7 linked regions of the Kluyveromyces lactis genome follow. The protein of the gene in region 2 interacts with the protein of the main gene of each other region in a biochemical or structural test. Links are inferred from orthologs where the notes say so. Each region holds a gene or a part of one and is shown on either strand. Other genes may lie near its edges. The genes, in order: MCM2, MCM10, MCM7, MCM6, MCM4, CDC7 and CDC45.

Region 1 (4,000 bases), on a different chromosome or scaffold from region 2:
TGAAGGTTGAAGTAATCATTATTTAAGTCTATTAGTTACAAATTTGTATATTATGCTAATATAAGCGATGTAGTACTGCATCTATAATGGAAAAAATGGGAACGGTATATTGTTGTTCTGAGCTTATAGAATTGTTTTCTTCCGTTGGAAATGTTGAATCTTGATTTCACATTGTTCCCATAGTATAAACAGCGAAAGATCTTTGTAGTTGGCGACGTACACTAATCTTTTGTGCACCCACAAAACTGTCCACTGTTACTTTAATTGCTCTGTCTAAATCCCATGAGGAAACGAATTCTGATAATCTCATTTTCGCGAAGGCTTCAGCAATTCTTAAGATAGATTCCAAATGACGAACGGTGATCGGGAATGAACCAGTAGTGACACTCTCTCGTCTCAAATCAGCATAAACCCTACTCACTTTGTCCATATCCATTTGATGTAACTTAGGGTAAACTTTAGTTCTTGCGTAATGAATATACTTCATTAGCATATGCTGAGATATGGGCGAAATTTCTTCTTCTCTTTTACGAAGGTTCTGCAAGCGTCTTTGTTTGGCAGATAACGGAGTTTCTTCATCACCCTCCCCATTAGGATTTTCCGTTGGAACGTTACCATCATCAAAATCATCCAGATCCTTGTCTGGATGAGACCTGATATGTGAATCAACGACGAAAGATGCTAGCCGATTATCACTTTCTTCATCAACCAAATCTCTTACCACGCAGAGGATATCGAATCTTGACAAAATTGGTTCAGTCAAATTGACATTTTGTGATAACGGAAGAGTAGAGTTGTAACGACCACCGATCGGGTTGGCGGCAGCTAAAATAGAGCATCTGGCTTGTAACGTGGTAACGATACCTGCCTTAGAGATGGATATACTTTGCTGTTCCATTGCTTCGTGAATAGAAGTACGATCCTGATCGTTCATCTTATCGAATTCATCAATCAAACAAACACCCTTATCCGCAAGCACTAACGCACCACCTTCAAGAGTCCACTCTTTAGTTATTTGGTCCTTCCTGACAGAAGCTGTCAAACCGACTGCAGAAGCACCTTGACCTGTAGCGAAGACAGCTCTGTTGGCAGTTTTTTCCACGTATTTCAAAATTTGGGACTTGGCAGTACCTGGATCACCGAGAAGTAGAATGTTTATGTCACCACGGATGGAATGCTTACCGTTAATGTTTTTAGGAACACCTCCGAATAAAGAACATGCAATTGCTGTCTTGATATCCCTGTGCCCATAAATAGATGGAGCCATTGATGAAATGATTTTATCGATGATTCCTCTGTCACGAGACATCTTTCTGAATTCACGCTCTTCGTCTTCTGTCCAACTGAAGGCATCCAGCCCTTCGTGTTCATCACCATCATGCAATCCGCCTTCTCTTCTCTTCACTGAATTGGCTTCCAGTACTGTTGCGAAAACGGGGAACCCGTTCTTTGCATTCAAATTACCGTCATATGTGTTCTTATAGATTCCTGTCACTTCGACTTCTTCACCAGGTTTTGCGATATCAACCAAGTCCCACAACAAAATGACTTCTCTGTGACGTGGTAATCTACCGGCTGGAACAGACCCTGGTGATTCTTGGATGGTGATTCTTTGGTAATTACGGTACAGAGTTTTTTCCATATTAATTCTGAAGGGACCCTTAGATCTACAATTTGTGCAGAACGAGATTTTAATTTCTTCATTTGAATCCTGATAGTAAGGCCCAAGTGTGGCACCACATTTCAAACAGTTGAATTTAACGTATTTAAGTTGTGGGAAGACACCAGTTCTTCTTGTCACGACACCACTAACTCTAACTAAAGAATTCAAATGAGTTTCACGTAAAGCACGTAAGTTCAATATACTAGGGAAATCCGAGATTCTTACGTGAATTTCCGAGTGAATACGAGTATAATCGGGATAGTGTAGTTGTGTAGCTTCCATAGCCACTGTATCAAATATTTTCAACATTTCTTCGGGAGATTTGGCTAAAAATAGGGCTAGAATGGCCTTGGATTCTACCAAATGTCTATAATTAACTTCCAAGGATTCAGAGTTCATTTCACCGAGAGTTCTGATACGAGCACCGTAAACGGATTTACCTGACTCATCAGTATATTCAAGCAAAAACGATTTCAACTCTCTGGCAATAGTACGTGATACATTCGGTTGAGTGATCCATTCAGAATAACTTGATGCCTTCACATCTGCCAAAGATTCCAACGAGAGCTCATCTGCCAACGGATCTATATCCATATCTGATAACAAATCATCATCTGCTTCTTCGTATTGACGTCTTCTACGTCTCCTCTGTACTGGAAGACCCATAGCATCCAAATTATGCGCACCAGCTCCTTCGCCATCATCATCATCAAGGTATGCTGTGTTCCTATGCACCAAACGATCTCTCTCGTTCAATTGTGCATCGATTCTTCTACGCTCAGCGAGCGACAACTCTTGCTGCTCCTGGTCGTCGACTCCTCTTCTTTCATACGTATCATGTTCTGTGTTTGAAGCGTAATCACGGTACATATCATCACCCATCAAATCGACTTCATTCATTCTTTCTTCCACATCTTCAAGATCCTCTTGAACATTGACAGCTTCATCTCCATCGTTATCTGGATTCTCAAAATCTATCTCATCTGGAGATCCAAGCGGGTCTTCAAACTGTGGAGAACTAGGGATGTTAGCGCCACCTTCACGGGGTTGTGTAGACAAAGAATCATCCTCATCCTCATCATCATCAGCTCTTCTTCTTCTCCTCCTTCCGTTATTTATTTCATCATTATCAGACATCTTGAAACACTTTCAAAAACAGCAATTAATAATCTTCAATTATCGCACTACCAAATCCGATCACACAATTGTCTTCCTGATGCTTCGATGACCTACTTGTTACACTTTGTTTCAGACCATTGGGATCTAAAGCTATCTTAAGATCTTAACGTTTTTTCCGGCTTTTTTCTTCAGTTGAATGTACGAAAATGATCTTTAATTGAAACAATAACATTTCCTAAAATGGTGTTTTGCAACGATCTGACCATTGTAGAGCGTTGGGGCTAATAATACAGCAATGGCAATATTCCAATAACACCAATCGGTAGTTCTCACCTCTTTTAGCTTTGCAATCTACATTTGATTAGTATAATTTCTTTATTATGATGCGTGGATCACGTGATAATCACATGGGATCATACGCTTAAAAACCGTACTTATAGCTCCAATCACACGATGAAGCAACACAATTGCAGGTAAAGTATGGATGTTGAAGCTCTGGAATGATGTGATGCATTTTGTGCCCCATATTAGATCGATTTCCATCCGGTAACCGTCCAAATGTGTCGATATTGACGTAAAATCATACGGAATATTGATTCATCGACATGGAAAATCTCTTACTATCAATGAAATATCCCCAAATTTAAACATAAGGAACACGTCAAGTTAAAGGCAAAAAGGGTACCTTCATTCACGCATTTCTTACTACAAGGTGAGTTCTGGCACTTAAAGATAGTCTTGTTGGTGTTAGGGAATGAGCGAGATTAGCGTTAAAGAATATGTGAAGCGACAGGAGGAACTGGAAGATGAAGCAAATAAACTGATGCCATATGATCCAAGCCATTGCACTTATTCCATGGGCCCAATTCGACAGCCAATATTCGCATGTCGTACTTGCAACAGTATAGGAGTGTGCTATTCATGCTCTATTCAGTGTCACAGTACCTGTGACTTGGTGGAACTTTTCGATAAGAGGAATTTCAGTTGCGATTGCGGTACAGAAAGGCAGTTTGAACACGGTGAGAAGTTCACACCTTGTAATATAAGAAAGAATACTACACCAGATATACCAGACATGAGTAACAGGTATGGCCAGAATTTCAAAGGGTTATTTTGCTCTTGCCATAGAGAGTATGACCCGAATACAACGACAACGATGTTACAATGCGTCCTTGGCTTGGAGTGCAATGAGGACTGGTTTCATGATCACTGCATTCT
Region 2 (3,813 bases):
GGCATTGAAAGGTTTAGAGTTGCTAGCCAGCGAATTTTAAGAGAATACAAGCTCGAATCTCGCGTCTCTATTCCCGATATTCTGGAAGGATCTTTTAGTTATTTTGCGTTAATAAATACCACAAATCTGGAGCCAACTTATATGCCATCTCCCGATTCTGATCCATTGGAATCACAACTACATGTATTGGCATACCAGTCTTCTCTGGATAGAGTAGAATTCCAGAAAAGGGTATTTATGGGTTATTCAAATACGAAGCATTCAAACATCTTACAGAATGGAACGTTTTACAGACCACTGCCATTTTGTTTTAACGTCGAAGTACTAGACGATCCGTCACAAAAGAGCAACTTTGAAGTTTGCTGTGATGGGCAACTTCTTAACTTACTAGAGTTAGAGGGAAAGAATACTCCACCATCCACGATAAGAATTGAGACTTGTACGGAGCCATCATTAAAAGTACTACATTCTTTATAATATATTAAACCTTACATTATTGTCTATATAATTTCCAAATCATCACTTGAGCCTTCATCTTTATCGAGCCGCTCTTGGCTGCCTTTCATTATTTCATTGAAGATAGCGTTTCTCTTTTCAATTTTCTCTTTCAATTGTTTCTTCGAAGGTTTCAGGCTAACATTATCTTTCTTTATATTGCAAATATCCGTTATCGCCAGCTGTTTATCATTCTTTGGCGCCTTATTCTCTGTAGAATATTCAAGCATCTCTAAAGACGCTTTCCCTTTTGTTGGGTCATAACCAATTTGGTTCGCTAAACCATGTTGGAACATGCTCAACGTCGCAGTCTTTTTTGCTTCTTGATTGACTCGGTCTTCCTTCTTTGACAACAATTTGTCGGATAGACCCTTTAACTTTTTCTCCAAGTTTCGATTGTTTCTGAGTTCTTGAATTTTGCGTCTTTTGTTATCAAGGTTGGCCAGTATGTCAGGATTTTCGTAGTCGTCATCGAAAAACGCGGTAGAGGCATTTGCAGAACTGAAGAGGAATCTGTTGGTCTCTGCAGCTGCCGGTTCTCGTACAAACGGTTTATCAGGATTTTGTTGATATCTTATGGATGTTTTACCATTATTGTGTTGTGATTTTACAATAGTCTGTTGATATCCTTTGACAACTGGCGCTCTCATTGCCACAGAGCTACTAATTTCAACTCTTCTAGAACTGTTTTGCCTCATTTTTGCCTCTTTATGATATGCACAGTAGTTATCATGCAATTTGTTTATTGGCGCACCACATAGCTTGCCTTTGTTCTTCATGTAAAATTGGCACAATCCGAATTCCTTACTGTGACCTAGTTCCAGTATATTATTGGTGTCTTTACTAACTTTTAACGAAAATGTAGCGTAACTAGGGCTTGCTCCCGCTTCCAGTTTCTTGGAAGGCATTATTTCAGGGTTAAGTATAGCAATCAAATCACCTAATCTTAGTTTGTAATACTTTTCAACTATACTTTTCCCAAAGAAAATAACATTCAGTTCAAATTGGAAATCACTTATGGTTAGGCTGAAGAATTTCACCGGTTTCACAGAATTTGTCATTCTTGGTTCAGTTTTCTTTGAGATGATACCCAATACCAACCAATTGGGATAATCAGGTTCAGAGAACTTAGGGGCTCTCACCTTACTGAAGAGCTTTGGAAGTCGAAGCACTTTTATGTTTTTAGTATGTTTCCTAAGTACGGCCAACGGTACATACCTTCTGTCTATAACCAGACCACTCAAATCATCTTTTTCATCAACAGTAATTGGTTCATATTCATCGAACATGTCGCCATTGAATGTGTAAACTCGATGTGCCAATAATTCTTTCTTCCTTTTAATCGCTTCATGTTCATTTGTATTGATGGAGCGAAGTTTTTCAGTAAAGTAAGAAGTGGTACCCAACTTTTTGACCTTTTCCCTTACATAATCCTCATTAACATTAAATGTAGCTTCCTCTATATCTGCTACTGGCGCAATATGTTTGATATCCTCTATTCCTTTTGTAGCATTATCTGATTTCTTAGGAGACTCTGGAACGTCGATAGAATCGAAATTAGGGTCTTTGAGGTTTCTCTTCTTCTCTAGTTCCAACAGCCGGTTAGTTAAATCTCGTTTCTCAGTGTCAATTTCAACAATTCTTCGTTTCACTTTGATTTAATGATTGGTTATAATATGTTAGTAGGATATTCTAATGTCATTGATCTCGGTAACCATTATTATTAGAACATACCTCTTTCGATTTCAGATTCATCATCAGATAATTCCTCGTACGGGTCGAACGCCGTAATTTCTCTCGGGTCAGTTAGATCATATGACATGATGCATCTTCACTGTTACCTATACTCGATAGCTTCTGTAACTATTCTCGTTCATTCTTTACTTGTGGGATGTCATTATTTTGTTTTCTCGTTTGAATATCTGTGGAAAGTAATACTAGTATTTTTTACATGTTGAAAACGAATGGTCAAATAATGATACATAATAGAAAAAAATTAAATAGAACTTCGGTAATATTAACAGCCATAAAATCGTCTGGAGAATCAGGCTTCCTGACCATCCTCAGTATCACTTTCAGGCTCTTTGTGACGTTTCTCAGGCTGTTCTGTTGCGGTGTCGTCTATGGGTCTCTTATTAGGAGAAATTTCTGACGTTGAGAAGGGACTAGTGAATGTTGAATGAGAGCCAAATACAGGGGCCTGGAATGCTGCACTCATATTAGAAGTGTCATTCTCTACAGGTTTAATTGTGGACTTTTGTTGTTCTAAATTCCTGATCTTGCTTTCCAAAAATTTCAATTTCAAGGAAACTTGCTGTTTCCCTTCTTCGAAAGATTTTTGTTTTATTTCTGCCAAATCTGCTTCAAATTGCTTACGCATGGAATCCTTAAGTGCATTCAATTCTGCACGATGCTTTTCTAGAGTAATGGCATCATTTCCGATCTCTCCTGCCAATTTTTGGGCCTTTTCGTTTACCTTTTCTTCAAAGGACTCTTCTAAAACAGCTTTTCTTGCCTCAACTATTTTATCAATCTTTTGTTGAGTAGGTAACCTGATCCGTTTCTTGAGGGCTTCTTCTGCTAATTTAATTTTTTCCAGAGTCTGCTTCTCATATTCTTTTTCCCATTCATTCTTCAAAGCATCGATGTCTATATCCAAGGTAGGCTGCGAAGGAGACTGGACAGTAGTCTTTTCGCACTCTTCACGAATTCTCTTTTCTCTTTCTTCAAACTGTTTCCGGAGCTCTTCCTCTCTGGAATTCCAAGCAGATTCTTTTTCTGCCTCAAACTTGCTCCTCAATTCTTTTTCTTTATCTTTTATTAATTGTTCTTTTTCAGCTTCAAATTCTGTTTTCAAATTATCCACTATTGACTTCGTGTCTTCGTTGATAACTGGCGTATGATGTTCAGCTACTATTTTTTGAGCGTTGGAGGCTTCGGCTTCAAGCTCCTGTATTTTACTATTTAACATTTCCACAGTCTCAGTCAACGATTTTATTTTTTCATCTGAATCTGCATTATTCTGTTCGGTCTTGGAAGCATTTTCCATTTGAACCTGAATAGAATGTAGATCTTCCTGCAATTTAGATAATTGAGAGTTAAAAGTCTGTTCCTTTGTTTCTGCTTCTTGCGTTACCACTTGTAATCTTTCTTCTAACTCTTTGCAAGCGGTCTTACATTTTCCTAAATCGGCCTCCACTTGAGATTTAGCTTCATTGATTTGGTTTATTTCTGATGATAAAGATTGTTCCTTTTCCTTGGAGGCATTCAATCTATCACGTGCTTGAAGCCTAATTCTTTGGAACTTCGATTCCCAGT
Region 3 (4,224 bases), on a different chromosome or scaffold from region 2:
ACAAGAACTACTCTCTGAGGTTTCAGAAGTTGTAAACAAATATGTAAACTTACCTTAGACTAAGTAGTAGATGGCATAAGCTAGGTTTATGCACAAAATAGATAGATTTTGAATTCGACAAATTAATTTTGGTTTTGAAAGATAGACTGTGATTACTTCTGCATCGTTCAGTCTATCTGGGAGAAGAGGCACATTAGAAGTTACTTAAACGTTAGTATATAGTAATACAAATTTGTCGTTAAACTAGGTTTAAAACTAAAATAAGGAATAAAGGCATTATTGGATCAAAACAGATTAGTGGTATGCAGATAGTCAGGTATTATTCCATATCGACATCTTCATCCGGTGTCCTTTGCGTCGAAGGGTTAGTTATATCAGAATTGTCTTCCGTTGTATCATCAATATCGTCAATAAATAGCAAGGTGTTTCCGTCTTCTATTTGATGCCAAACATTAAGATACTCATACTCTTTGATACAGCTTACCAGTTGCAGCATAGTGAAACCTCTTGATCTAATCGTTCTTACAATAGCATCATACGGTAATCTTTTATTAAATCTACCATTTTCAGTCGCCATTTTCTTGATAATTGTGTAAATTCTGGTTGTTGGGTTTTCATCTTCATATGGGTTCTTGCGGTCGCTGTATAATGACTCTTTAGAGACTTCTACCAACCTCAAAGCTTCGTCTACATCTTCAATTTCCACAGTGTCACTGAGCCTTAGTTTTGCCAAGGCCTGTGATAGTCTGATAATTGCAAGTAAAGTTCTAGGTGTTGCTTGCCCAAACGAGAATTTAGAATCCAACGCTTTCTTAGAGTCTTGTCTCATTCTTGTATAAGATAGAACTATGTGTTCATTGACATCAGCTGACAACACAGGTCTCTTAGTCTTGGCGTATGCAATATACTCTCTCATTTCGCTCGAAGGAATTGGTTCGAAACCAAAATCAGGTTGCCTGTCATACATATGAACGTACGTGACGTGTTCTGCTAACTTCTCATCGTTTTCTTTGCTTGGCATATCGAGTAGTAAAAACATGATATCGAATCTAGACAAAAGAGCTGCTGGTAGATTAATATTTTCAAGTGGAGATAACCTTGGATTATACCTTCCGTATAGCGGGTTAGCAGCTGCCAATATGGAGGCTCTGGCATTTAAAGTAGTGTTAATACCTGCCTTAGAAATTGAAATGGTTTGTTGTTCCATAACTTCATGGATAGCAGTTCTATCACTTTCATCCATCTTATCAAATTCATCGATACAACAGATACCGTTATCGGCAAGGACGAGGGCACCACCTTCTAGCACCATTTCATCAGTCACTGGATCCTTCATAACGGCGGCTGTTAGACCTACACCAGAAGAACCCTTACCAGTTGTATAGACACCTCTCGGAGAAATTTTACAGATAGATTTCAATAATTGAGATTTAGCAACACCAGGATCACCCATCAAGCAAATGTTAATATCACCTCTGATTTTTAGACCATCCCCGACTTTTTTTTCAACACCGCCCACTAATAATAACAATAAAGATTTCTTAACATCGAGATTACCGTAAATTTCTGGAGCAATTGATTTAGCCAAACGGTTATAAACATCACCTTGGTTGACGATTTTCGCTACTCTTTCTTTCAATTGATCATCAACTTGGAAAGATGCGAATTTTTTCTTATGCTGGTACACAAACTGTGTCTCTAGGTACGTTTCCGTTAATAGACCAGCTTTCAAAGCACGGAAACCAGTGTATGGTGAAGGTAGATATATACCAGTAACATCTACCACATCACCTGGAATCATGGATCTAGTTAATGGCCCATTAATGTGAATAGTTAATGTCCTTGGGATATGCCCGATGGGCACTTGATCTGATAGTTCTTGAATTTTACATTCTTGGAATGCACTGAACTTTGATGCCCTAGTACTCATGAACAATTGTCCCTTAGTTTGATTTTCGGAACATTGGGCAGAGGGACATTCTATTATTGGGGTAAAAGTTCTTTTATTAACTTCTTGGAACACTTCATGACCGCACTGATCACAAGTATAAGCGTTGACTGTGACACTTGGCTTCACATCAGAGACTCTGGTAATGATACCACGGACTGTAATCAATTTTCCCAAATAAGAGCCTTTAATTTCTCTTACTGACATTGGTTTCAGTTTCCTAGTGGATCTGCTGGTTAACGGTTTAAAATACAAATGATATCTCCTAATCAACGCAGCAGGGAACAAATCAGCGTCCGTAGTGGCCAATTGATCCAAATTGGTTTGAGACTCTTCGCCCATCCCTTGAGCCATTTGTTGGAATTCATCTCTAGTTTCCAAGATATTTCTTTCGTTTCTCAATCTTCGTTGGTGTAAAATGACGTCCAATACATCTGTTTCGTAATCGATATCTTTCGTTGGAGGCGGCAATAGTTCATCTACACAGTTGGAGAAAAGTTCTGTGAACCGCTTAGTGTTTTCCATGATGATACGGTGTAAGTTAACTAAGTTCTTGCCTTGTGCTGCTGTATTTGACGAAGACAAATTTTCAAATTGCTTGGTGCGCTGATAATGGTACACATCGTCCAATTCGATATACAAGATATCTTGTTCTCTATTGGCAATATGTTGCAATTGTTGCAAGTACTTTGGGCCCTGACCAACTTCAGGATCCAAGTTATCGTCATTATCGTTCTCCCCAGTAGAACCGATAGTTTCCTCTTTGTAATGGATCAAGAAATCTTTGATATTATCTTGAGCTACCTCGTAGTCAATTCCGAGATCCAGTGTGGGCAAAACCGATGAAGCCATGGTACTGGTGGTGTTCTGAATCGTTGGTTGGTGTGAGTGGCAGCAGACAGTAGGAAAACTGATAACGGAGAAGTTGTTGAAGATTAGCAGAAAGTGTATGCGTAAATGTTTCAAAGATCAATTGGAAAAACGAAAGTGATTTTTATTTTACAGTTCCTAATCGGGTAGAAGATGAAAGACGCATTACCCGGACACAACCACGTGACAAAACATACCAACATAATTACCCTCCCTCTTATAGTCTATTTTTAATTTGAAATTGCAATTCAATTTTTCAATTTTCAGTACTTTTCATAAACGACCACATTGGCTTGGCTGGACCCCCGGTATAGAGAGGCAGTAACCTCAAAAATTGGGTGAAAACAACCTTAACATTGCATTATCTAAGCCTAACAAGTGTTCAATGGGCCAATCGAGTGGACAATGGATATAGTATAGGAATTTGGCATTCGTAAATGGACACCCCAGTTTCAGAAACTGAAATTCAACATTTCCCCTCGCTCAAAGTGTACCGCCGCCCCTGCCCTCAGGGATAGCCCTTGGTAAACGAGAGGTATGTCATCGCAACGCGTAAACCAGGTGTAATTTATTACCTCCCCGCCCCCCATAAATTGTTTACATTTTACGCGTTGTACCGTACGTAAACGTCAAAAAACGTAAACAAACGCGTAAACCGCACCCTTAAATTTGAGAAATCAATTTAAAAAATCAATTTAGCTCCTTCCCAGTTTACGTGTTGCAAAAATGCACTACATACGGACCGGCATACCAATAGTTTACAGTTTATGCCGTTAAACATCACCGAAGCTAATGTTTATTATTATTACTACTGTGTGGAAAAGGGTACAGGCCCCGGCACAGCCCTATGTGTCGGCGTCGTTCACAATGACACTTAGTCAGACCACATTTATTTCACCGTTTCTCAGTCCACACACTCAAGATTTCGCACAAAACTCTCAGTCCTACACACGTTTCTAAGATGCAAAAGAAAAAGCCAACAAAAAATTCTCAAAATAAAAAAAATTCGCCTAGCTGAGTATCTGCATTGTACTGTAATGTACCTTAAAACTGGAAATCAGGTTAGAACAGCTGTCTCAGACTGACTTTCTGACAGTTACCTCGTTATCTTTAGCATTTTAACTGTTTTTGGTTTGACTTTTTTATGCTTCGTTTAGCCCGAGATTAATATGCACACAGAGTGTTAGTATCGTTACACTAAGATGGTTTTCGGTTCTAGTTTTATATATAAGAAGTATGAAATGTGAATAGTTGAAGATTCGGTTCTTGTGATAGAGTATATTTTATATTAGGATTTAAATATATGTATGTGTATTGTCACGAGGTTAAACACAAACATAAAACTCAAACTATATACATATACACCTATTACGAGATGATTGCCAGTACGATATTCAAGAGACAAG
Region 4 (4,223 bases), on a different chromosome or scaffold from region 2:
TTTCTTTCTGTTGTAAATACCAATCTACTATCTCAGTTTTTGTCATTTCAGGTTCTTCATTCTTTTCTCTGTCAACCACTTTCCGTACAATTAGATTCATCATTTCCACGTATTTATCATATGATATTGCGACTTTATGTGTTGTGTGATGAGCGTTGTCATGAGACTCTACGTCAGGACCACCCCCCGTTTCGGAGTCGGCGTTCAGTGGTTGAGAAGGTGACTGAGATTGTGTATCAAGTGTTTCGCCGAAGTGTTGTGTGGCAGGTATTGTGCCCTCACCCTCCGTACTTTCTTCTGGGGAGTTATCGTCATCTTCAATTTCAACGTCATCAACATCAACACGGATGATACTCTGTCTCAACAAATCGTACGCCTCAGCGACAAAGCTCGGAACAATTTCATCCACGCAATTAGCACGAGCAATAGCTTCACTTAATCTGATTAATGATTCCAGTTGTCTGACAGTTATACGGTACGAAGATTTACTGTACCCCTGCGCATCGTCTTTCCTTAGTTCTGTATATCTTTTGACTAGGTAGTCACGAGCTTCTTTAGTCATTACCGGCTTGAAAGTCTTGGCATAGTTGATATAACGACTCAATTGTTCTGCTGAGAATGGTGGATTAATAGCAGAGTCCCTCTTCATGTGCAAGTCTACGATGTGGGAAGCTAGCTCAGTATCGATCTTCTCATTGCAATCATCAAGAATGACAAAGAATAAATCGAATCTGGACATAATTGGTGCAGACATGTTCAAATTAGATCTTAAAGTCAGTTTCCTATTGTACCTACCGCCGACGGGATTAGCGGCAGCCAAAATTGAAGTTCTGGCATTTAATGTTGCATGAATACCAGCTTTGGCAATCGAAATGGTTTGCTGTTCCATGGCTTCATGAATAGCAACTTGATCTGCGATATCCATCTTGTCAAATTCGTCGATACAACAAACACCATTATCTGCCAACATTAACGCACCAGCTTCAATAGTGAAATCACCACCTTCTTCATCTTTCACCACAGCTGCAGTCAAACCAGCCGCTGAAGATGCTTTACCGGAAGTATAAACGGCTCTTGGAGAGAAGTTACAGACGTATTTTAGGAATTGAGATTTTGAGGTGGACGGATCACCAACGATACAAATATTAATGTCACCTCTCAATTTAATGCCTTCTACAGTAGTTTTATGAACACCGCTAAGCATTTGTAAAAGGATACCTTTCTTAATGGTTTCATGCCCGAAAACTGCTGGTGCAATCGATTTCACCAGTTTGTCATAAATATTCTCATCTTTCACCATCTCTTTTAATTCATTAATTTCGTCAGAATCAAGCCTTGTTAGGAAAATTTCTTGATCAGTTTCTGCCGCCATTTCATAGTTTTGATAGTTTCTCAAGTTAATATAATCAAATTTGGATGTCTTATCGGCGTCCTCCTCATTAATCCTACTACCATTGAAACTGGTACCAACATTTTCAACATGGCATGCCAAAAACGATATTTTGTAAGTTAAATCTCTAACACCTAATGATTTGAGCCCAGAAATACCTGAGTTCAATCCTTCCGTTGTCCGTGAGATACCTCTAGAATCTGGAGTCGAACTTGCTTTAACACCAGGCAAACCAAGTTGACTAACGTCTGGAACGACAATTTCAGTACCAATAAATTTACATCTATCACCTGGTTTAGCTCTTTCGACACAGTCACCACGAAGAATAATATCTAAGGTTCTTGGCATAGAACCGGATGGAATTTCATTGGAATTTTCTTGAATTCTTACCTTTTGCCAATCCAAGAATTTGGACCTGTTCACGTTTAATGACCAGAAAGATTGGTTCTCACATGTTGGATTTGGACAAGAGGTTGGTTCAGTGTACTTGAAAACTTGTTCCACATTGTCAATAACAGCTCGACACAATTCGCATGTAAAACTGGCTTTGTATAATTCTGGTCTAATTTCCGAAGTTCTCGTGACTGTGCCTGAAATAGCCATTAAAGAACCAATCTTATTAGCCCTAATATCTCTGATTCTATGGACAGTTGGGAGATTCAGGAAACTGATTTGCAAAACACGTTCAACCTGATCTGGATTAGTGGCAATGGTAGATGGGGCAGTGCCTCCTGCGGTGGCAGCCTGCGAAGTTGGCAAAGATGAATCTATTCTTTGCGAAGAGCGGTCCTGAGAATTCTCTTGAGATTGAGAAGGAAGTACAGAGTCAGATGTTAATAATAATCCAGGAGCGTACTTCTTCACCACATTTCTTAGCCCAGATAAAAGGAATGGCAAAAATCTGTAATACTGTTGTAAAATAGCAACCGCTAAAGCTCCGTCTTCCACCTCGGCCAAATGTTTATAGTCAACGTATATGGTATTCAATTCGTACCATCTCATATATTCAATTTGGACTCTATAAACCTTCTCCATCTCACCTGTTTCATCATTGAGGGCGGTGAAATTTGACAAGAAATGTTCGAATGCCTCTCTTACAGTTTCACCAGTTTTATCATCAACCTTTTTGATGGCATTCAAGTTTTTCTGCCTGATCCCGGCTAATGGAGTAATTTCTTGTGAATCATTTTCCATAGCCTCTATTTGTGATTCTGAATTAATGCCTTGCCTAGTGTCATCAGTACCGAAATGTCTATTTCCATCTGACACTCCTCTGGAAGAAGATGGAAACTGGGGAGTTCTGTTTCCTAACGACTGATCATCGAATTGTGAACTATCATAAGCACCTACACTAGAGGGAGGCTGGGATGATTGCTGACCATGTTGAAAAGGACTTGATGGTGCCGACATTGTTGCTGATTTTTTCAGCTTGCTCCAACTATGTCCGGTTTTGGATGAGCCGTTCAACCTGGATGCCCTTCACATTGAAGATCATGTTTTAAGTGTTTCAACATGTAAAATCATTTTTTTAATTTCTGAGTTAAGGCGATTCAATATTACTTTTCCTAAAGAGGTATTGCAAGTATCCAAAATTAGTTAACTGAGGTATAACACGAGGAAAACCATTGACTATCGACCATAACATATCGATAACCAATGCAGCAAAGTTCAATTTAATGGAATTTTTTCTTTTTGATTCGATAGGGAGAAGATAAAACATCGGTGAATTGATAATAAAAATTAATGATACGTAGGTAAGAATTCATCTTATTTAAGCGATATAAGTATATGGACGCGAGGATTTTAGAAAGCTGGCCAGGGATAAAATAGCCCCCCTGACAGTCAGTTGCATTAATGGTGAAGTGAAAATGAATCTAAAATCGAAAGAAAAGAAAAAAATGTAACCAGATAAAATAAACCGAAAATGTTAATGTGGACATAGGTCCACTGAAAAGCCGAATGGAAAAAGATTCAATCATTCTTGGTAATTGTAAGTATAATTGAAAAAGTTCATGAATTGCTGAGTTTCTCTGAAGTGCCTCTCACCCAGAGCGTACTCATTCATTTGTCTTTGTAAAGTAGTATTAATCTTAGGTTCATTCGAGTTATTCGTGAATTTCACTTCTTCTTCCATAGACATGCCTGCTTGCTCGATGTCGAGGGGGAGTACTTCCCAATCAGGATTTATTTGTGACTTTTGATCGGTAGATATGAAGTTCATTTCTTTATGGAGAACAGTATGTTCATGGGAGGATTGGGATGAGATAGACCGTACGGTGTCCAAAGCTGCATCTTCAACTGGTGATTTGTTCAATGAGGAGAATTCATCGAATGGTTGTGTACATTTGCGTAAATGAGTAGCTGTATTTTGAGATCCCGAATGAGGTATTAGTTGTGGTTGTCCTGTGAAGGGGACAGAGTTCGAGGGAGCGAGAGATGGGACACCGTTGCCATACACTTGGTTTTCGAAATGACCGTAATTCTGATTGTCGTTATGTTCATTGATATTTCCATTGATATTTCCATTGTAGTTTAGTGGTATTGAAGCCAGAGCAAAAGTGTTATCCAAAGCCAGGTCAGATATGGTTTGTTTGATGGGCGGGGAGGCAGAAGCCGGTTTAGAATACTCACTCGATAACTTCTTCCTATTTTCTGGCATGAAGTTGCTGATAGGCACCTTGGCTTCGCTGATAGTTGCTTGGTTGGAAATGAAACGTGACTGTCCATCAGAGGTCATGATCATTTTCAACTTCCCACACTTTTTACTCTTCTTCAGGTTACCCTTGAAAGTTGGCAAAATAGCTTCACATTCACGATTTTCAATATGATGTTC
Region 5 (3,991 bases), on a different chromosome or scaffold from region 2:
GATGATATATACACAGAACGTATGTATATAAGCAGAACATGCGGAAGGTCGTTATTCTCATTTAGCCCTTTGCAAACTATGTAGAGGCTTTCTCAGAAAAACTAGACTTGATAATATCTATTCATACACGGCCATTCAAACGAATTGATCTTCTTAGACCTTCTCCTAAGATTACTACCTTGTCTTCTTGTTGCAATCTTGTCAAAGCGTTTGATAATTCGATACTCTCCACTTTATCTTGCGATTGTTCGTTTATAAGCTTGCTTAGTTCGTTGAAACTTATTGTGTCTGTTGTCCTTTCTGTCAATATCTTTAAAATTTCTCTCGCCAAGTCTTCAAGCAATTTTCTTTGCACAACCGATTTACCAGTTTGTACAAGGTTCATATCAATTTTACCAGTTTTAGGATCCGTAGCGTAATCTTTGATGGCAGACTTTATCAGTCTCACTGCTTCTTCCACATCTTCAAGTTCAACTCTTTCACTTAACCTCATCTTAGCATGAGCTTCTGAAAGTCTAATCATACTTTCTAACTGTCTTGTTGTTGCGGTAATTCTTTTTTCATCTGATCTACTGTCATCACCCATCTTTCTCATACCGACATATGCCCTCACAAGTTCAGTCTTGGCTGACTCAGTTATTACCGGGTGAATGTTTTGTTTTGCATAGTTGATGTAGGCTGTCAAGAATTCAACTGGTAGAATATCACCTTGAGATACAGAATCCGGTCTGTCTTCCAGGTATAAACTGGTTAAATGCTTAGCGAGTTCACGATCAGACGCTTCGTTGACCTTGTCAAGCACTAGATAAACGAGATCAAATCTTGATAATAATGGAGGCGGCAAATCAATATTTTCAGTCACAGGAAGATTAGGATTGTACCTAGAGTTGATAGGATTGGCACTAGCCAGAATTGAAGTTCTAGCATTTAAAGTTGTAATAATACCTGCTTTTGCAATAGAGATTGTTTGTTGTTCCATAACTTCATGTAATACTGATCTAGTATTATCGTTCATCTTATCAAATTCATCAATACAACACACACCACCGTCAGAGAGAACTAAAGCACCACTTTCCAACACCAGTTGCTTAGTATCCACATCTCTTGTAACATAAGCAGTTAAACCAACAGCAGAGGAACCCTTACCCGAAGTGTAAACACCACGAGGAGCAATCTTATGAACATATTGTAAAATTTGAGATTTAGAGGTCGAAGGATCACCACATAGTAGAATATTAATGTCACCTCTATATCTTCCACCTTTCTTGAAAGTTTTATTAGCACCACCAAAGAGTTGTAATAAGATTCCCTTCTTGACGTCATCTAACTCGTAAATACTTGGTGCGATGGAACGTGACAAAACATCATAGACATCCGATCGGCGAGCAGTTTCTTTGATCCTCCTAATGTCTTCGCTACTCAAAGTTCTAATCTCTTCCACATTATCAATCTGGTTCTGCAAGAGTTGTTGTTCAACAGTAGAAGTGTCCACACCGACTCTATCTTTAGCCACCTTTTGGATATGAACCACATCGATGTATGTCTTGTATAGAGATTTGAGGGCTCTTTGCTTTGGATTCGACCTGATTGGAATAGATCTAAAGATACCTGAAACCTCAATTCTATCACCAGCACGACACGAATCAACCAGCTCATCATATACACATAGGGAAACAGAGTGTGGAGTTTGTCCATCAGGGACTAGATCAGGCGTTTCTTGTAACTTTATCACTTGTCTGTCTTGGAAAGTGCACCTATTGTGAACTAAAACCATGGAGTTTGGGCTATTACAGACCACTCTGGGACATCTCACTGGTTCTTGAATAATACCACGATCGATCTCAACTTCTACAGTATGATTGCATACGTTACATTTGAAAAATGCAACACTCATATCTGGGATAATAGGTGTGGATCTTAGAACTAAACCTTTGATACTCACCAATTTATCAATATCATTAGGATTAAGCTCTCTCATACCCTTTTTGGTTTCCACATTATATGGTCTCACTTTGAACAACTTCGATTCAATTTCATTCAAGTAACTCTCTAACCCATTATCAAGTGCTAAGGATACCATACAATCTTTAACAGTTTGATCCATAATAGCTATAATTTCTTGAGGGTAATAGAGAATCTGATGAAACAACTTTTCAGTATGTTTATAAGCCAGTAAATTTCTGATATCAAGGTTCAAGTTTGAAGTACCGAGTTGTCTCATTTGATTCAATTGATTCACATAATACAGCTCTTGGTCTGTTGTTTCGTTGATGAAAATCTCCTGATCATCTAGCTCCTTTCTATATTTCAACTTGAAAGACATCAAAAATTCTCTGAAACTGTTACCACACTCTTGGATCGAAACATTGGTACCCCAGATGATCTTCAAAGGTTGATCAGCAGCTTCAGATGCAGGTCTCGATGATGATGAAAATCCATTATCCGATGAGGAAAGGTTATTGAAAGTGACAATTCTTCTGGGAGATGATAAGTCAGATGCATTAATTTCGCCTCTTCTAGATCTAGAGTGTCTTCCCTCTCTTGCACTTGAGGATAGAGAGGATGAATAGTTCAATAGATCAGATCTCAAATTGTTAGATCTTAAACCACTGCTACTAGGAGCGGCGCGAGCCGTCTCTTGCGTGGCATTTGACGAAGACGAAGGATAGTGAAACGGAGAAGAGCCTACGCCTCGGTCTTGAGATGCCTGGGAATCCTGTGTACCATGAGGAGCTGGAGAAGAGCTAGGATCATAAAACAAATTTGGTGAACTTGGTTGTTGAGCTGGAGGTGAGGACATAATATTGTTAACCGTTTGTCTTCCTGTGTTCTATGGATATATACTGCCACTATTATCCAAATGCTAATTCAGCAATTTTATCAAACCTACTAAGCAGCTAAATAATCCTAGGTTCCCTGATATATCACCTTTCAATTGATAATGTTATCTTGTTTGAGATGCTTTGAGTGAACTAAGTGAAACTCGTTAAGATTTTACACATTTTTGGTTACATAGTTACATTTCCTAAAGAAGAAAACAGAACAAATTGAAATAAACAAGGTTCTAATGAGCCCTTGCCACCGTTGATAATACCATGGATCCACTCAGCTCAATGGTCAGTATCTTCGCCGATCAGAATTGGAGTTGCATTATTTGAAGAGGGAACAATGATCACGTGATGTACAATTGTTCTGTTTTAAAAGAAATTAACCTTTAAAATGAAATAAAGTGGTAACAAGAACTCTGTCAGAGGCGAGAGATAAGCGAACCACTTTCGCCAGTGTGACTCAATTCTTCTGCACAATATCATTATTCAACGTGAATTTATTGTACTTTCGTTTAGTTGTGTTTTTGTCCCGTTTGGAAACTGGTAAGAAGTGATGAATCCCACTGTTAGTGATGAACGAGATCGGGCAGAGAGAATTAGACTCAGCATAATGGGGCCTCAAACGAGGTCCAGTCGAATGAGCTATCGGATATCAAGGTTCAAGTCTACGCACACTCTGTACATACTATTACTTGCTTCTTTGGCTGTATTGCAGTTTATTTCCATAGCATTTTTCGCAAAAGGGTTCCTTTTAACAAGGACGGTGTTGGATAACGTTGCAGAACTTGATCCCCAGCTTCCCTTCGAAGCTAAATACGATAAGATGGTTTTACTAATAGTGGACGCATTGAGGTTTGATTTCGTTATTCCAGTAGATGAAAATCATGCCAAGTACAACCCTAATTATCATAACAATTTGAAAGTTCTTTATGAGACGGCCCATAACTCAACGGATTCTGTCTTGTTGAAGTTTTTGGCTGATCCTCCCACAACTACGCTACAAAGATTAAAGGGATTGACAACAGGTTCCTTGCCTACATTTATAGATGCAGGATCGAATTTCAATGGTGATGTGATCGATGAGGATAACTTAATAAAACAGCTTTATCTGCATAACAAGAAAATATTCTTTGCCGGTGATGACACTTGGGATGCCCTATTTA
Region 6 (3,392 bases), on a different chromosome or scaffold from region 2:
CCTTAAGAGAAGGTCTAATCACTTCTGTAGTAAGTGACCATTCTCCATGTATACCGGAGCTAAAAGACCTCGCAAAAGGTGATTTTTTTAGTGCATGGGGAGGAATTGCATCCGTCGGGTTGGGACTACCATTACTATACACTAACGGTGCTTCCATCGCTGAAATCATTCAATGGTGTTGCGAGAACACCAGTAAGCAAGTTGGTCTTGATCACAGGAAGGGTTTCCTAAGAACTGGATACGACGCAGATTTTGTTATCTTCGACATCAATACCTATCAGACTGTCGACAACGATAAAGTTTATTTCAAAAACAAACTGACAGCCTATGATGGGTTCAAACTGAAAGGTTTAGTGAGAAACACCTATGTTAGAGGAAAATTGGCTTTTGAACTTGACGGCATGGGACATAATAAAAACCCTCCCGGCCAGACAATTCTTGAACGCAGAAGAACATGAAGTACCCCATCTTCTAATCATTTTTTTTTCTTCAATTTTGAATTACCTTTATTTGATGCATGATATACATATTATATATATATCACTTATGATTTAAATTTACCTAGAATATACTTCATTATTATAATTTCTAGAACAGCAATCGTCGGTACAAGAACTATGGAGCAAATTGATATGGTGACCAACCTCGATGCTATTGATTTAACAGTGTGGTGGTTTCTTTCTGCACGTGATTTGTACAGCTTCAAATTTCTTTCCAAGACTTGAAGCTGATCCTCTATTATATTTACAGAATCTTGCAGTGTCCTCACCAGTGAACTATCTATCGTCTCTCCTATCAAACGAGGATCTGCTGGCTTCGGTATCTGATCGAAACATATCTGTACAATGTCTAAATCAACAATCTTAGGATATTCATCACCAATGACACATAACGCATATTCACCAGTATGTTTCGCAGGAAATGTCCATTGCCCTTGCTCTTCGTCATCTTTGTAAATCATAGGATACTCTGTATCGTCCGGAGACCATAATTCATAGCTTACTCTGAAGGCATTGTTTTCTCCCTCTTGTACTGCGAAGTAATAAGATATTTTGCAGTCACTGTCATCAACATCAATGTAAACACATTCTTTCCCATTCTTCTGTAATTGTACCGTTATTGGTGAGCTTTGACAGACAATCACAAGCGAAAATACCCATAACCATGTAAACTTCATATTTAATAAGTTATACATGAAGGTTGCTTTGTGTGTAAATGTCCTTTTATTCGACAATTCCCCTTTTAACGTCCTGTTTCTGTTCATTAATATATGTCATTTCAATGTGAACTACTGCTGTTTGTTATTATATTTGGTTTCGACAATAAAAATGAAAACATCGCCAAAAAATGCATAGAATAAAAGAATCAACGGATATAGCGTATCTGTTCTTGTAGAGTCAAACCAATGGGTATACAGCTCGTCTGTTAGGCTTCATATTAGGTGGCAATATACACACTATAATTATGGATGACATTCCCGCTGAAATCATCCAGGAAATGGATGATTTGTACGATAAGGTACCACAGTTGTCATCCAGATACAAGCTACTGGATAAGATCGGAGAGGGGACCTTTTCATCGGTATATAAAGCTCAAGATCTTAGCAACGTATCTGGAAGGTTATACCCTGATCATTTCTGGGATAAGAATAGTAAACATGTGGCTATCAAGAGGATATACGTGACAAGCTCGCCGAACAGAATTGAAAATGAACTTAAACTCTTAGAGTTACTGTCAAATTCGAATAACGTAGCACCATTATGCGACGCGATTCGATACCAGGATCAGGTGGTTGTCGTCTTGCCCTGGTATCCGCATGAAGAATTCCGGCATTTCTACCGAGACATGCCTATCAAGGGGATAAAGAAGTACATGTTTGAACTTTTAAGCGCCTTGAAATACGTGCACTCATTTGGAATCATTCACAGAGACGTGAAGCCAACCAATTTCCTATACAACCCAATACTTGGGAGAGGTGTGTTAGTAGACTTTGGTTTGGCTGAAGAGAATGAAGAGTTGTACTTGCCTGACCTCAACTATCGTGTGTATGTTAATGACCAGGGAGAGAAGGTTTGTAATTGTTCTTCACCGTATGCTAACAACAAAAAGACATCACATCTGCCGTTGATATCCATTCAGAACGGGCAGCTTAACGTTAGAGGGGCAAATGAATTAAGTGCTGCACAAAGTGAGAATCTCATGAAGGCAGAATTGAGTAAGGGGTACCCAAAACATGAAACTAGGAGGCAGCGTAGAGCTAATAGAGCTGGTACGAGAGGGTTCAGAGCGCCAGAAGTGCTTATGAAATGTTCTTTCCAAACTCAAAAAATTGACATTTGGTCAGTTGGTGTGATACTGTTAAGTTTCATCAGCAGAAGGTTCCCAATCTTTCAAAGCATGGATGATATTGACGCCTTTCTGGAGATATGTTGCATTTTTGGAATCAAGCCCATGCAAGAAGTCGCCAAGTTCCATGGGTTGGGACTAGACATGACAAAGGTTCCAGGTTTCCATTCGGAAGGATATCCTGGGGGGCTACAAGGTTTTGTGAGAGCTTTACTTGACAAAGAAGTGGAGGAAGGAACATTACCAGAGTATTCCATAGCGTTCGAGACGTTGGATTATTTGACACAATTTGACAAACAACTCACGCCAAGTTTAGGCCCAGACGATGAAGAGGATATTGATGATAAAATACGGAGCTACAAACAAGCAGTTTGGGACGATCATTTTTGGTGTTTTGATCTCTTGGCAAAATGTTTCGAACTCAATTCATACAAAAGACCCAGCGCCAGTGATCTTCTTGAACATTTATGGTTCAAAGAACTGAACGAAGATTTACTTGATAGAGATCAAAGAAGAGAAGATCACTTCACCGGGGTCGTTGAGTAATGAAATCCAGAACGAAACAAAAATATTTGACGAAAATTAGCATATATTCACCGCAATAACTTAGAGCAGAACTCATTTTTTATATACATGCATTCATATATAGAGTTCTTTAACCGATAGAGTAATTTAATACTTTGCATTCATCATCATTATTATATTTAGTTTACAAACGTTGCCAACGCTTTGACGGCATAAGTTAGAGAACAAGTGCGTAAATAAACGAGTAAAACAGCGTTATTCACTTAAGAGAGAATGCTATAATACCCCAAGTCAAATATGTATGTGGTGATAGTAATTGGTGAATTCAGAACAAGAATGGGATCAAGAATGCTCTCTTGGTACCATATTTCTTGTTTTTCTTTTGAGCCCACAAGTACATCTGAACCACCGAGACAACAAGGAAAAGAACTGAGAATAAGTTCAACTTGAACAACAAAGTGAAAAACATCCAAGCCCAAGATTCAAAAGTGTAATTTGGAGCGACAAGTAGTTTGAACAAC
Region 7 (3,777 bases), on a different chromosome or scaffold from region 2:
TGTTTCTATTGCGTTCATTCTTGTAATTCAACGGAGTGTAGAGCGAAGAGTCGCTGAATACATTTGCCGATGTGCCCATCCCAACGTTGAAATCCTCATCTGTTGAGTGTTTGACATGTTTGATCCTGCGGAACTGCGGGCTTTTCCAGGGTGGCAGACGCGGAAGATCTATGTTGTGCTCCATGTATTAACTTAAGAGCCTGAACAGCTACAGTTGAGGGGTTGAAGGCTGGTTCTTGGCAACATTTTGCCTATAATTATGACAAATTATTGTGGGTATTTTAGAATGCTTACCTTTGACTGACATTTGTGGCATTGGTTTAATGATCACGTGATATCAATGGTAAACCTAACAGATTTCAAACAGCTTGGACATCCCATAGTAGTGTCAATTTCGAGGTATCTGATTAGATTGTTACATAATATATATATATATATTAGATTTAAAGCCGAAAGCTCACCTCATGATATGCCTAAATTAATATGTTTGTGTCTTCGTGCTAAATCAATCCGCTTAATGTCAAACGTTCAAGGAATGGTTGTAGATCGTCTTTCCTGATTTCAATAATTGATGTCTCGAAATTGTCAATCCTTACTTTGGCACCTGTCTCAGCTGCTATTTGTTGAAATGCCACTGTGAAATTATTTAAAGTTTTCTGCTGTTGTTGTTGTAAAATGTCCAACCCTCTTGGGTACCTTGGCGCAATCCCTGCACAAAGATATGTGTCAGAAGTCTCATCTAAAGTTGCCAATACCAGTGGAAGTAACTGTTTTTCGTCATTTTCTGCATAGTATTCAATGAGCCATGATCCCAGCCTCAATAACGTTAATGGATTTCTATATAAATGCAAATCTGGTCCATCTTGTAAAACACATAGCCTGTAAATCCTTAAATGTTTCACTAATCTTTTCTCCAGAATAGCGACTCCAGTTTCAAATACACTTCTTTGTAAAAATGTTGCATGCTTAATCCCCTGAGATAAAATATCCATATTATTGTCCAATACATCCCAACTTGACCAAAAATTTGCAATCCATTTTTTTTGCCTTGTCTTCAGTATTCTGTTAATTTTTTGCTCTTCAGCTTCTTCGTACTCCCTATTCTCTTCATCACCTTGGTTCGTATCATCTTTTTGAGATACATTAGCTGTTGTCAAATTTTCTAGTGCGTTTGAAGCATTGCCAACTTCAAGTAAAGCGGTTATCGATTCGACAAATTCACTGGCACTTATTGATCCTCGGTAACCGAAAGTTCTCAAGAACCCATCTCGTACAATATCTTGTAACCCGTATCTATCGAGATTTTTATCGAAAAGTACGCCCAGATCTCTCTTGAAATTATTGTCCATATATATCCAGTTTTCCTGTGTAACACTCAGCGGAATACCCATGCGTGCAAACATTTTATGCAGTCTTTTCTTGCCATTTTCATTCCACAGTGACAGTTTGGCGTTGACGTAGTTAGAATAATAAAAACTATCATATAAGGATGTATGCCTCAGAAGGAATAAACTGTAATCGGGACGAATCTCAAGATTCAAAGAATCTGGCGTTTTAGTTTTTTCACTAGGTGTCAATCTTTTTACTTCATCTTTCAGAAGTGGTAATAGTCGATTGTATACCAACGGGAAGGAATTATCCAAAGAGGACACTCCTAGAATGCATAACCATAAATAATCTAGATTTGTCTCACCAATACCAGACAAAAGAGAATATATCTGAACTGAAAGGGAGTTCAGCACCGTTGATCCCTGTGAATAGTACTCCTGTAACACTTTTTCTAAGTTGTGAAACTCTCGCTTTCGTTGTTTATGTGATTTTTTTGGATTCAATTCATCGCTGGACCTTTTACCCAATACTACGTCATCGTCATCGTCATCGTCATCGTCATCGTCGTCTTTATCCTCATTTTGCGTTTCCCTGTCATCTTCCTCTTCCTCGCTATCACTGTCATCGTCCAATTCATCGCCAAGTTCGTTCTCTATCTCTATAAGTTTGTAGTATGCTTTCTTTTGCTCTGTCAAAGACTCTTCGACTGTTCCATCATCGAAACAGGTTATGCACTGTGAACCAAATAAATTATCCAAATTCCACGGTCTATGACAATCAAGCACAAATATCTCCTTCTTAAATTTCTGAACAACGTCAGTCTTATCTAATTGAATCTCATCTAATGGACCCTGCGTGTTTTCTTGTGGATCAATCTCTAAAAAAGATTCAAGATCTACCATCCCTCCACAACCTACAAATATAACGCTATTGATATTTTCGTCCAGTCTCTGATAGTGATCCTTCAATTCCGAATAACCAAACACGGGAACTAACTGTGATTGTACCAATTGCTTCTTGAATAGACTGGATAGCATCTTCGATGCACATAACGCGTCAATGTTTAAACACGAAACAAAAATCACCAACTGACATGAAGAATGAGAACTGCATCGGTGAAGAATTTTATCATAAGCACCCACAAATTCAGCAATGCCAATATACATCCTCTACCTGGCACTTTGATGGCCTGCAGTGGTTTTGTTTGCAGTCTCTTTTCCCTCGTGAGCTAGTCATCTCATGTATTTACATAAATTTCTTTAAAATATTGGTTTGGAATACTTACACGTTTAAAGATTTTTGGAAAATCGATTACTTGTCATAAATGGCATACATGCGAAATATTCGAAATATTCGAAGAGATGCCAAGATTTACAAGACTATAGGTACTAAACACTGCTATCTGATATTTCATATTGCAGTATTACGAAATACGAAGATCTTAACTTACTATGAAACTACTGGGAACAATAATTGGTTCAGCATTCTTTTTACAAGCTGTGTCTGGATTCTTTTTCGATTCAGGTCACCAGAATAGACAGCAACAGCAGCAACAGCAGCAACAGCGGGATGTTGGCTCTTACCAGCAAATGTTCCTAGATAATGACTGTCCGCATTATTTATGTCCACAGACATTGGATTGTGTGAGACAGAAGTCGGATTGTGCGTGTCCGTTCCCTAATTCACAATTGAAATGCAATCTACCCAACGGTCAGGTAATTTGCATCTCAAAGCCAGCAACACATGATCCAACACTGGTAGAGATTTATGATGATCCAGTAATGGGACCAGCTCAACGTACTGAGGGATTCAGAGATTGTGGATGGATCTTGGATGTATATGACGGCAAGATTTAGAATGAGAGATCTTTCTTTCTGTATCGGCCATAATACTATTACAAACATAAACTGATAATATATATAGAGACATATAATACAGACCATTACTGTATTTAATGCAATTAACTAGCATGGGTTTATTTTTACTCGTTTGAGTTCTTCGCGGAAAAGATCGTTACCGGTTCGGAACAGTTAATCTCTGTTCTTACCTGCAACCCATCTTTTGTATAACAATTCATGGATTTTAAAGTTTCTGAAAAGCTCATCGTACTTTGATTGCTTCCAAAGTTCCATTAAGTCATCTTCAGGTATGAGTTGTTCAACGTAGCATAATACAAACTGTTTCTTGGCTCCGCCCACGACTCTGGCAGCGCTTGAATACCAAGTGTAATCATTTGACTGGTTTGCATCCAAAACCATGATTCCATACTCCGCATGTTGGAAAGGGGGTCCTCTTCTGTATAATAAGTATTCGCAACCAAATTTTATCCCCGATCGTACACACCACCCTTTGGACCTGTAATGATGGTACGCGACATATTGATGAATTAATTTCTTGATGTCTTGGAAACTTTTCGGTTCCAGTACCAACGAAACCATTAATTGTTGC

The links.
Region 1: the proteins of MCM10 (region 2) and MCM2 form a complex in vitro, tested with the Saccharomyces cerevisiae proteins (5 studies listed by BioGRID). The link is inferred for Kluyveromyces lactis from reciprocal best matches to the Saccharomyces cerevisiae genes MCM10 and MCM2.
Region 3: the proteins of MCM10 (region 2) and MCM7 form a complex in vitro, tested with the Saccharomyces cerevisiae proteins (2 studies listed by BioGRID). The link is inferred for Kluyveromyces lactis from reciprocal best matches to the Saccharomyces cerevisiae genes MCM10 and MCM7.
Region 4: the proteins of MCM10 (region 2) and MCM6 form a complex in vitro, tested with the Saccharomyces cerevisiae proteins (4 studies listed by BioGRID). The link is inferred for Kluyveromyces lactis from reciprocal best matches to the Saccharomyces cerevisiae genes MCM10 and MCM6.
Region 5: the proteins of MCM10 (region 2) and MCM4 form a complex in vitro, tested with the Saccharomyces cerevisiae proteins (3 studies listed by BioGRID). The link is inferred for Kluyveromyces lactis from reciprocal best matches to the Saccharomyces cerevisiae genes MCM10 and MCM4.
Region 6: the proteins of MCM10 (region 2) and CDC7 form a complex in vitro, tested with the Saccharomyces cerevisiae proteins (2 studies listed by BioGRID). The link is inferred for Kluyveromyces lactis from reciprocal best matches to the Saccharomyces cerevisiae genes MCM10 and CDC7.
Region 7: the proteins of MCM10 (region 2) and CDC45 form a complex in vitro, tested with the Saccharomyces cerevisiae proteins (4 studies listed by BioGRID). The link is inferred for Kluyveromyces lactis from reciprocal best matches to the Saccharomyces cerevisiae genes MCM10 and CDC45.

The regions. Positions count from the first base shown.
Region 1 is NC_006042.1:1,165,544-1,169,543, forward strand, and holds MCM2 (MCM DNA helicase complex subunit MCM2), read right to left. Parts: upstream 2,801-4,000; coding exon 167-2,800; downstream 1-166. Other genes in the region: KLLA0_F12606g (uncharacterized protein), read left to right, coding at 3,537-4,000. UniProt on the Saccharomyces cerevisiae protein: Acts as a component of the MCM2-7 complex (MCM complex) which is the putative replicative helicase essential for 'once per cell cycle' DNA replication initiation and elongation in eukaryotic cells.
Region 2 is NC_006037.1:50,765-54,577, forward strand, and holds MCM10 (Mcm10p), read right to left. Parts: upstream 2,318-3,813; coding exon 2,230-2,317; intron 2,147-2,229; coding exon 501-2,146; downstream 1-500. Other genes in the region: KLLA0_A00550g (uncharacterized protein), read left to right, coding at 1-477; MLP2 (Mlp2p), read right to left, coding at 2,540-3,813. UniProt on the Saccharomyces cerevisiae protein: Required for DNA synthesis. Required for entry into or completion of S phase. Involved in DNA replication and seems to participate in the activation of the pre-replication complex (pre-RC) and in transcription elongation.
Region 3 is NC_006041.1:2,065,526-2,069,749, forward strand, and holds MCM7 (DNA replication licensing factor MCM7), read right to left. Parts: upstream 2,801-4,224; coding exon 320-2,800; downstream 1-319. Other genes in the region: AAH1 (adenine deaminase), read left to right, coding at 1-58; KLLA0_E23211g (uncharacterized protein), read left to right, coding at 4,122-4,224. UniProt on the Saccharomyces cerevisiae protein: Acts as a component of the MCM2-7 complex (MCM complex) which is the putative replicative helicase essential for 'once per cell cycle' DNA replication initiation and elongation in eukaryotic cells.
Region 4 is NC_006042.1:935,830-940,052, forward strand, and holds the start of MCM6 (MCM DNA helicase complex subunit MCM6), read right to left. Parts: upstream 2,801-4,223; coding exon 1-2,800. Other genes in the region: KLLA0_F10109g (C2H2-type zinc finger protein), read right to left, coding at 3,366-4,223. UniProt on the Saccharomyces cerevisiae protein: Acts as a component of the MCM2-7 complex (MCM complex) which is the putative replicative helicase essential for 'once per cell cycle' DNA replication initiation and elongation in eukaryotic cells.
Region 5 is NC_006039.1:1,537,586-1,541,576, forward strand, and holds MCM4 (MCM DNA helicase complex subunit MCM4), read right to left. Parts: upstream 2,801-3,991; coding exon 122-2,800; downstream 1-121. Other genes in the region: mannose-ethanolamine phosphotransferase GPI13, read left to right, coding at 3,382-3,991. UniProt on the Saccharomyces cerevisiae protein: Acts as a component of the MCM2-7 complex (MCM complex) which is the putative replicative helicase essential for 'once per cell cycle' DNA replication initiation and elongation in eukaryotic cells.
Region 6 is NC_006039.1:396,435-399,826, forward strand, and holds CDC7 (serine/threonine protein kinase CDC7), read left to right. Parts: upstream 1-1,464; coding exon 1,465-2,892; downstream 2,893-3,392. Other genes in the region: DAL1 (allantoinase), read left to right, coding at 1-458; ERP3 (Erp3p), read right to left, coding at 545-1,264; trans-2-enoyl-CoA reductase (NADPH) TSC13, read right to left, coding at 3,197-3,392. UniProt on the Saccharomyces cerevisiae protein: Serine/threonine-protein kinase. Needed for the initiation of DNA synthesis during mitosis as well as for synaptonemal complex formation and commitment to recombination during meiosis. Required for HTA1-HTB1 locus transcription repression.
Region 7 is NC_006042.1:1,834,515-1,838,291, forward strand, and holds CDC45 (DNA replication initiation factor CDC45), read right to left. Parts: upstream 2,496-3,777; coding exon 501-2,495; downstream 1-500. Other genes in the region: KLLA0_F19800g (uncharacterized protein), read right to left, coding at 1-184; LCL2 (Lcl2p), read left to right, coding at 2,781-3,185; tRNA splicing endonuclease subunit SEN2, read right to left, coding at 3,360-3,777. UniProt on the Saccharomyces cerevisiae protein: Required for initiation of chromosomal DNA replication. Acts at the origin of replication. Also has a role in minichromosome maintenance.